Tamandua tetradactyla: one gene and its partner. The protein of the gene in region 1 purifies or fractionates together with the protein of each later gene. This does not show direct contact. Links are inferred from orthologs where the notes say so. Each region holds a gene or a part of one and is shown on either strand. Other genes may lie near its edges.

Evidence for each region. Proteins that work in one complex are often made in the same cells at the same time.
Region 2: the proteins of EXOSC4 (region 1) and HBS1L purify together in Homo sapiens (affinity purification with mass spectrometry; 3 studies listed by BioGRID and IntAct, with this or other methods). This does not show direct contact. The link is inferred for Tamandua tetradactyla from reciprocal best matches to the Homo sapiens genes EXOSC4 and HBS1L.

The regions. Positions count from the first base shown.
Region 1 is NC_135332.1:82,575,865-82,579,335, reverse strand, and holds EXOSC4 (exosome complex component RRP41), read left to right. Parts: upstream 1-918; 5' UTR 919-1,029; coding exon 1,030-1,200; intron 1,201-2,158; coding exon 2,159-2,365; intron 2,366-2,459; coding exon 2,460-2,819; 3' UTR 2,820-2,857; downstream 2,858-3,471. UniProt on the Homo sapiens protein: Non-catalytic component of the RNA exosome complex which has 3'->5' exoribonuclease activity and participates in a multitude of cellular RNA processing and degradation events.
Region 2 is NC_135351.1:35,359,520-35,363,268, forward strand, and holds the start of HBS1L (HBS1-like protein), read right to left. Parts: upstream 2,271-3,749; 5' UTR 2,120-2,270; coding exon 2,077-2,119; intron 1-2,076. UniProt on the Homo sapiens protein: GTPase component of the Pelota-HBS1L complex, a complex that recognizes stalled ribosomes and triggers the No-Go Decay (NGD) pathway.

The sequences.
Region 1 (3,471 bases):
CAGAAATGCAAGGTATATTTGGTTATCCACTTGCTATGGACAAGAAGAGGTAGCCTGAGATACACATAGCCACCACCTCCACGGCAGTGGTGAAGAGCTTTGCTGGTTCACCAGGAGCCTGAAGTGAACAAAACTGAACAAGACAGACAAAGAGACAAGCTCCTGATCAAGGGACTGATCTTACAAGCCCCCCATCAGACTAAGGGAATCCAGAGACAGGGCACGCAGAAGGCCCTCCACCCTGCCAGTGGATGTCCACCCCTTGTGGGCCGGCCGCTATTTGTCCGAGCTTGGAAAACAGGCTCACATATTTTTAAAAAAAGAAGAAGGAAAAACAAACTTTATTTCAAACCACCTGCTTTGACTCACTTCCTCTTCTGCGGGGTAGAGCTGGAGTGGGCGTTTGGGGGCTCGTCCCGCGGGGGCTGAGGGGGGAGGATTTGGTCAGGCTCCGGCCAGCGAAGTCGATGCTAGAGACGATTGTTAATCTACTCATGCTGGTGCAGAACTGGCTTCAGAACACACTCGCCGCCCCGTGCGGGGCGTCGACACAGCGAACAGATGAAGTTGGCTAAGGAAGGTTGTTCATCCAAAAAGAAGAAAGGTGGAGCCAGGCTGCCGAGGGTCGGGCCGGAGGTGGGCCGGACGGGGGCACGAGGGGCCAGCGGGCAGACCAGGAGGTGCGGAGCCCCGGGGCCCGCGAGAAGGGCTTTCCGCGACACACCCCCGGGGCAGGAGGGCGGGGACGCGGCTGAGGGATTTCGTCCTCGTCGGGGCTCCCCGCCCCGCCCCGCCCGGGAACCAGCAGCCGCGGGAGACCAGTTTCAAAAGCGCCGCAGCTCCGCCTCCCCATCCCCAGGGTCAAGACCCCCAGCTACCCGGAACCGGAAATGGTGTGTCCGCCCGGAGTTGTAGCTTCCTGGGGCCGGAAGTGGAACCTGCGGCCGCCGGGAGCCGTAGTTCGCTGGGGCCGGAAACGGGTGCCGTAGCTCTCCGCGCCGCGGGGATTTTGGGCGGGCGGCTGTCGGCATGGCAGGGCTGGAGCTACTGTCGGACCAGGGCTACCGCGTGGACGGGCGGCGCGCTGGGGAACTGCGCAAGATCCAGGCGCGGATGGGCGTATTTGCGCAGGCCGACGGGTCCGCCTATATCGAACAGGGCAACACCAAGGCGCTGGCGGTGGTGTACGGGCCTCACGAGGCGAGTGGGCGTGGGAATGCGCGGGCCGGGCAGCTCCCCGGCGGGCACTGGGGCCACGCGGGGCCTCTCGCCCCTCCGCTCCCACGGTGGTCGTCGGCCCCCGTCCCGTGCGGCCTGCACTTCTCCTTGCTGTTGTCTGAGGTGTCGAGTGCTCGCCCTCGGTGGCGTCCGTACTCTCCCGGCTGCACCGCTCCCTCCTTCGCCCCTCTCAGGTCTGCTCCGAAGTCGCCGTCCCAGGGCCGCGTCTTCCCAGACCACCGTCTGCGCGTGGCATATACCCACCCCTGCCAGCATACACTTCCCATCCCCTTCCCTCCCATCGCCTTAGACATCAATTTTGACCTCCTCATCGTTTGTCTCCTCCCCTGGAATGTAATCTCCATAAGAACAGGGACTTTTGTGCCACTTGTTTTATTGCCCTATCGCTAGTGCCAGAACAGTGCCCGCCGTGAAAGCACCGAAGTAATGTCTGCTTAAGCGTGTGAGTCTAGGAGCTCAGCTGCCCTGGCGATGGGATCAGAAACATGAAGGCTGGAGGGGTGGGGACAAGCAAGGCATGTTTGCAGGGCACAAAGGCTGCAGGTGAGGGACAGGGTATAAATTCTAAGTGAGGTTGAGTGGTTTCAAAAGAGGAAAGGACTTGGGATTTTATTTTATGTTTGACGGAAAGCCTTTGAAAGGTAAGCATGAAATGAGTCAGACTTGATATTTGTAAGCATACTCAGGGTCAGGAAGCATGGTAACGGGAAAGCCAATTAAGGCATACACAGCCAGAGAAGACAGTGGCTTAGAAACTGGGGAGTGGCCTTTCCTGGGGGCATGCTTTGGAGGTAATGTAGGTGCTCCTTGCTGAGAGTTGGAGGTGGAGAGAGAGAGCTGAGGTAAGACTGTGAGTCACAGAACAGGATAGTGTGTACTGGGAAGAGGGGGCTGGCTCATGTGCCTTTCCTTCCCCCAGATCCGGGGCTCCCGGGCACGAGCTCTACCTGACAGGGCGCTGGTCAACTGCCAGTACAGTTCGGCCACCTTCAGCACCGGTGAGCGCAAGCGACGGCCACATGGGGACCGCAAGTCCTATGAGATGGGCCTGCAGCTGCGCCAGACCTTCGAGGCAGCCATCCTCACACAGTTGCACCCACGCTCCCAGATTGACATCTATGTCCAAGTGAGCAGGCAACAGCCCTCAGCCTGGATAGGAGGAACAAAGGGTAGGGAGTCAGCAGCCTCATGGACAAATGGCTTTGGTGTCCCTTTGGCAGGTGTTGCAGGCAGATGGCGGGACCTATGCAGCTTGTGTGAATGCAGCCACGCTGGCAGTGCTGGATGCTGGGATACCTATGAGAGACTTTGTGTGTGCCTGTTCAGCTGGGTTTGTGGATGGCACAGCGCTGGCAGACTTGAGCCACGTGGAGGAAGCAGCTGGTGGACCCCAGTTGGCCCTGGCCCTGCTGCCAGCTTCAGGCCAGATTGCGCTGCTGGAGATGGATGCCCGGCTCCATGAGGACCACCTGGAGCAGGTGCTGGAGGCTGGCACTCGGGCTGCCCATGCCGTGCATACGCTGCTGGACCGCGTGGTCCGGCAGCATGTGCAGGAGGCCTCCCTCTTGCTGGGGGACTGACCCCCAGCCATCCCCCAGAATAAAGCCCTGTTCCCCTACCTGGATGTGCCCCAGTGTTTCAATCCCCTGCCTCCTCACAGCACTTCCCTGCCCTGGTGCTGGCTTCTGGAGGTGACCTAGGACCCTCCCCCTTCATAGACACATACCTCTTGGGGTGTCTGGATTGAAGCCCTGAAAAGGAAGATGTAGTTGGGCCAGAAGAGGGGTCCCTGGGTTGAGAGAACAGTGTGTGCCGGGAAGGGGTCAAGGCAGCTTACCTTGGCAGGATGAGCCAGGCCATTAGACCACACAGTCTGTTATCCTCACACCAGCAGATATGGCCCTGGCTTCCAGAGCCCTAAGCACAGGGGCTGAGGGTGAATTCAAGGGGCCTTGGGTATCCACCATGGAGATAGGGGACTTCTCCCATATCCTCTGGACCACAGCTTGGACTGGCTGACCCCCTTCCCCTAGGAGCTCCTGGAGTGCATCTTAACCATTTATTTTGGGCTCCTAAAATACCACAGGCACCCATTCTCAACTGCAGTTTTCTCCCCTCATTTGCCCCCTAGACTGAGATAGACCCTCGCCCTGTCCTACCAAGGCAACCTCTGCTTCAGCAAGCTCCTCTTCCTCAGTCTCCTTTCTGAATAGGGGCACCACCTCCTCCTGC
Region 2 (3,749 bases), on another chromosome or scaffold:
GTTAATTAGAAAAAGTACCACAACATAAAAAGATGAAGTAAATCCTTTCTAGGGATCTTTGTAAAGTGGCTCACTTTTTCAACAAAATGTTGGAGTATTTACTGTATGTAAAGCAATTTTCCAGCTACTAGAATAAATATAAAAAGCCCTTGGCCTTCCAGGGGCTTTAAAATTAGTAGCCGAGGCAGTCAAGTACTGCCCAAATTACACAGAAGAAAAAGGTGTGTTCAACAGAGGAAGCAATAGGTTTTGCAGTACAAAAGATAAACTGTGAATGGAGGTCATGTTTGGGTAGCTTAAATGGGTAATAAATGGGTAATTTTATTTCCTTAAACTCTATTACGTCACGTCTGAGAATTTTTCAATTATTTCCATGAATTTTTCAATTATTTCCATGAGAGTTCAAGGGAAAGCTTAACTGGGATGAAAAGAAATGAACTGAACCCCAAGATGAGCAGTATTAGAAGCAAGAAAAGGGGATGGACCTCCTATGCTATAGAACAGCTTTGGTTATGATGTCACCAATTGTTCCAAAGATAACATAACAACCTGACCTCAGGGGGTCAAGTGAGAAGATATTTAGCACTTACTCCCTTAAGCCAAGCACTACCTTCTCCAGGAAGGCTTCATTCATCCTCCCATCCCTGGCCCAACCCATTTTGAATTAGGCGTCCTCATTTACATAACTCCCATAACACTTTGCATTTTTTTGTTCCATCTTTCATGCTCTAGTCACTTGTTACTTGTATATGTCCCCTTTACTGTCAGTCCTCAAAGTTTAGAACAGGGTACAATAAGCACTCAATCAATGCTGGCTGAGGAAATGATAAATGAAAATTAAAGAAATAAATGATTGTAATTATACCTATCCATGTCCTTTACATCATGTTTGCAAAAATATCTCCCATTTCCCAGCTGACACTAGCCCGCAGCAATACCTAGACAACAAGTGTCTCCACTCTGAACTGAACAGTAAGAACCCAACATATGCCAGGTGGACCAGGTCACTGTCTCCAAATCTGGCAGTTGTGTGTTAGCTGCCCTCCAGTATAGTTAGAGGATCCTGATGCTCCTAGAATAGTCTACTGGGGGTGCCAGTAACAACCAACATAGTAAGCACTGCATGTTCTGCACTTTTCAAAGCAATAGGTCTTTCTCTTCTGCATTAGTTCATGTGTGTTTACATTTTTGGACTGATGTTTGATAATTCCTATAATTATCCACTGTGTAAGGAATGATGTTGTGTTTGTCCTAAAACTAATTCCAACTTCCTTTAAAGTTCTAGGGAACATTCACATACACATTGTTCTCGTGTTCTTTTCTTTATTCCATATTTTTAAAAAAATCATTAAGCCCATTTCCATTAACCCTTTCTTCTAGTACTACTTTTTTTCTCACTTGAAAGCACATTTACACTAAGCATAACCAGCCAAGACCTGATTATACACCTCAAGATCATCTGATAGACTTACTCCTTGGGTCTTTTCAATATGTTATGTTTTTACTGTCTCTTAAATTTCTAATTTAACTTGAAAAACCAACTCAAGTCAGGTTCTGCACTAATATGCACGAACGTTAATAAAACTTTTACCGTATAAACCTAATAAATACACCAAGTCAGTTGAACATAAGCATTAAGTCAATCTGTGTTTTACGAACTGGCAACCTTTCTTTCTTCTTTCTTTTTTTTTTTTTTTTTTTTAGGGGCAGGGGGTGACGGGTGGGGAAGGTCGGAGGAAGCAAGGAGAGACACGTGCCCGACCAGTGACGAAAGAACGGCGGTGGGGGGGGGTGTGTGTGATAAGATTTAACATGCATAAATATCACGGGATCCCAACCTCGACATATTCCATATGTCGCCATGCAGTACCTCCCACCCTAAATGTGATCAATTTCAGAAGGCTGAGATCATTAAGAAATGCCAGTCGCTGACACTCAGATGCCATGTTACTGTACCCCGCTGGGCCTTCCCCGAATTTCAGACTGGCACCACTGACGAGAAACTCACAGGTCGAAGTGGATGCCAACGAGGCTGGAACAGCAAAAATGACGTCCCGGCTCGGCCCTGCCACCTACCTTCATCGTAGTTATAGCCTCGGATATTCCGATGCCGGGCCATGACAGCGGAGGGGGCGCTGACCACAGCCCCCTACAAAACACCCGCTCAGATACTGAACAGGAGCCAACTGCGGCCCAAAACACACCTATGCGCCATCTTGGCTTCCGGCAGGCCTCTGCGCCGAGCGCCTGCGCACGCGCGACGTCTGATCGGACGGCAGCCGCTCAGGGTCCCTGCACGCCTCCAGCGGACGCATGCGTACTCACGGCTCCAGGCAGGCCCCTCCTTCCATGAGATTGACAGCGCGCACGTTGGCGCGGCCCCGCCTGTAAACTGGGTGACCGAGGTGGCTCAGGAGCTAAGTCCCGCCGAGCACAATTTGTTAGTTTAGATGGAAAGTCTGCAGCGGGGTCCTTGATTTCCCCCAAGGTTCCAGATCATTTGTCTTATCCACCTTTCATCTTTGTGGTTCAATAGGCATTCGATATTCACGGCTTCCGTGTGTGCGGGAGTCGCCATTAGTCTGCCCTTAGTCATGTAAACGCGTTTTATCCGCATTCCTGAAGGAGCGCACAGTGAGCGTTCGCGGAACACGTAAAGCCGTGTGACATCTAGGAACACTAAATATAGTATTTTAAACATAGCTCTGGTCTTAGGCGGCAGTAATGAATGTTTTGATGCGTAATTATGTAACCATGACCGACTGTTGGATGTTGGAACATAAGACGAATGATGCGCGGTAGGTATTTGCGACCGCATTATCACACTGGACAAAACAGCCTTGAGTTTCAGCTTGTTTTTCGAAATGTTGATAACTTTACCTGAAAGGCAGATGCAGAATTCTAATAAAGCTTACTTAACTTTTTATTATCCACAACGGAAAGAAGCAGTAAGAATAATACATAGTTAATTCAGATTTCATGAGTAGCTTGGAATGTATTGTGCATGTGCATTTGAACGTGTCTGACTACGAGATGTTTCTTCTTAATTGTTACTTCTGTTTAATGTACTCCAAGACAAAATTTTACCCAAAAGTGGAGATAGATGTTAAATTTATATGGCTTGAGTGTTTTATTTTGCATATTTAGATTACTTTTATGGCACAATCTGTTTCTTTGTAAAATGGAGATAGTAGTAGTAGTATCTAATAGAATTGTAACAAAATTAATGTATCTGTGTAAGAGGATTTAGCACAGATCATAGTAGGTGCTTTGAAATTATGCTATTACAATAAAAATAGCAGCTTCCAACCCTCCCCACCTCACCCTCTGTAATTGTCAATTTCAAACTCAAATACAACTCACCTTACTTTGAAATGAATGTATTATGAATAGATCACTTGAACAAAATACCAAGGAAGGGCTGAGGAAGGAAAGCATTGCTTCTGCCCCTTGGGTAGTAGTGCATTTGCCTCTTGGATCATCATTAATGTAACCGACAAAGGTCATGGATTCTTTTGCCTAGGCACTCAATAACAAATTGTGGAGACACCAGGGTTTCAAAGAGAGAAAGAGTTTATTACGAGGCAATAGTGAGAGAGCAGATGGCCTATGGGCCCAAAATTTATCTCCCCAAACTGCAGTCATTCTGAGAGTTTTATTATTGAAAAGGATGGGCAGGGTTTAGGATAATGAGCATAGTGGTCCAAGTTGTAATTAGAGGTGATCTAGTTATTAATATGCCTAGATTG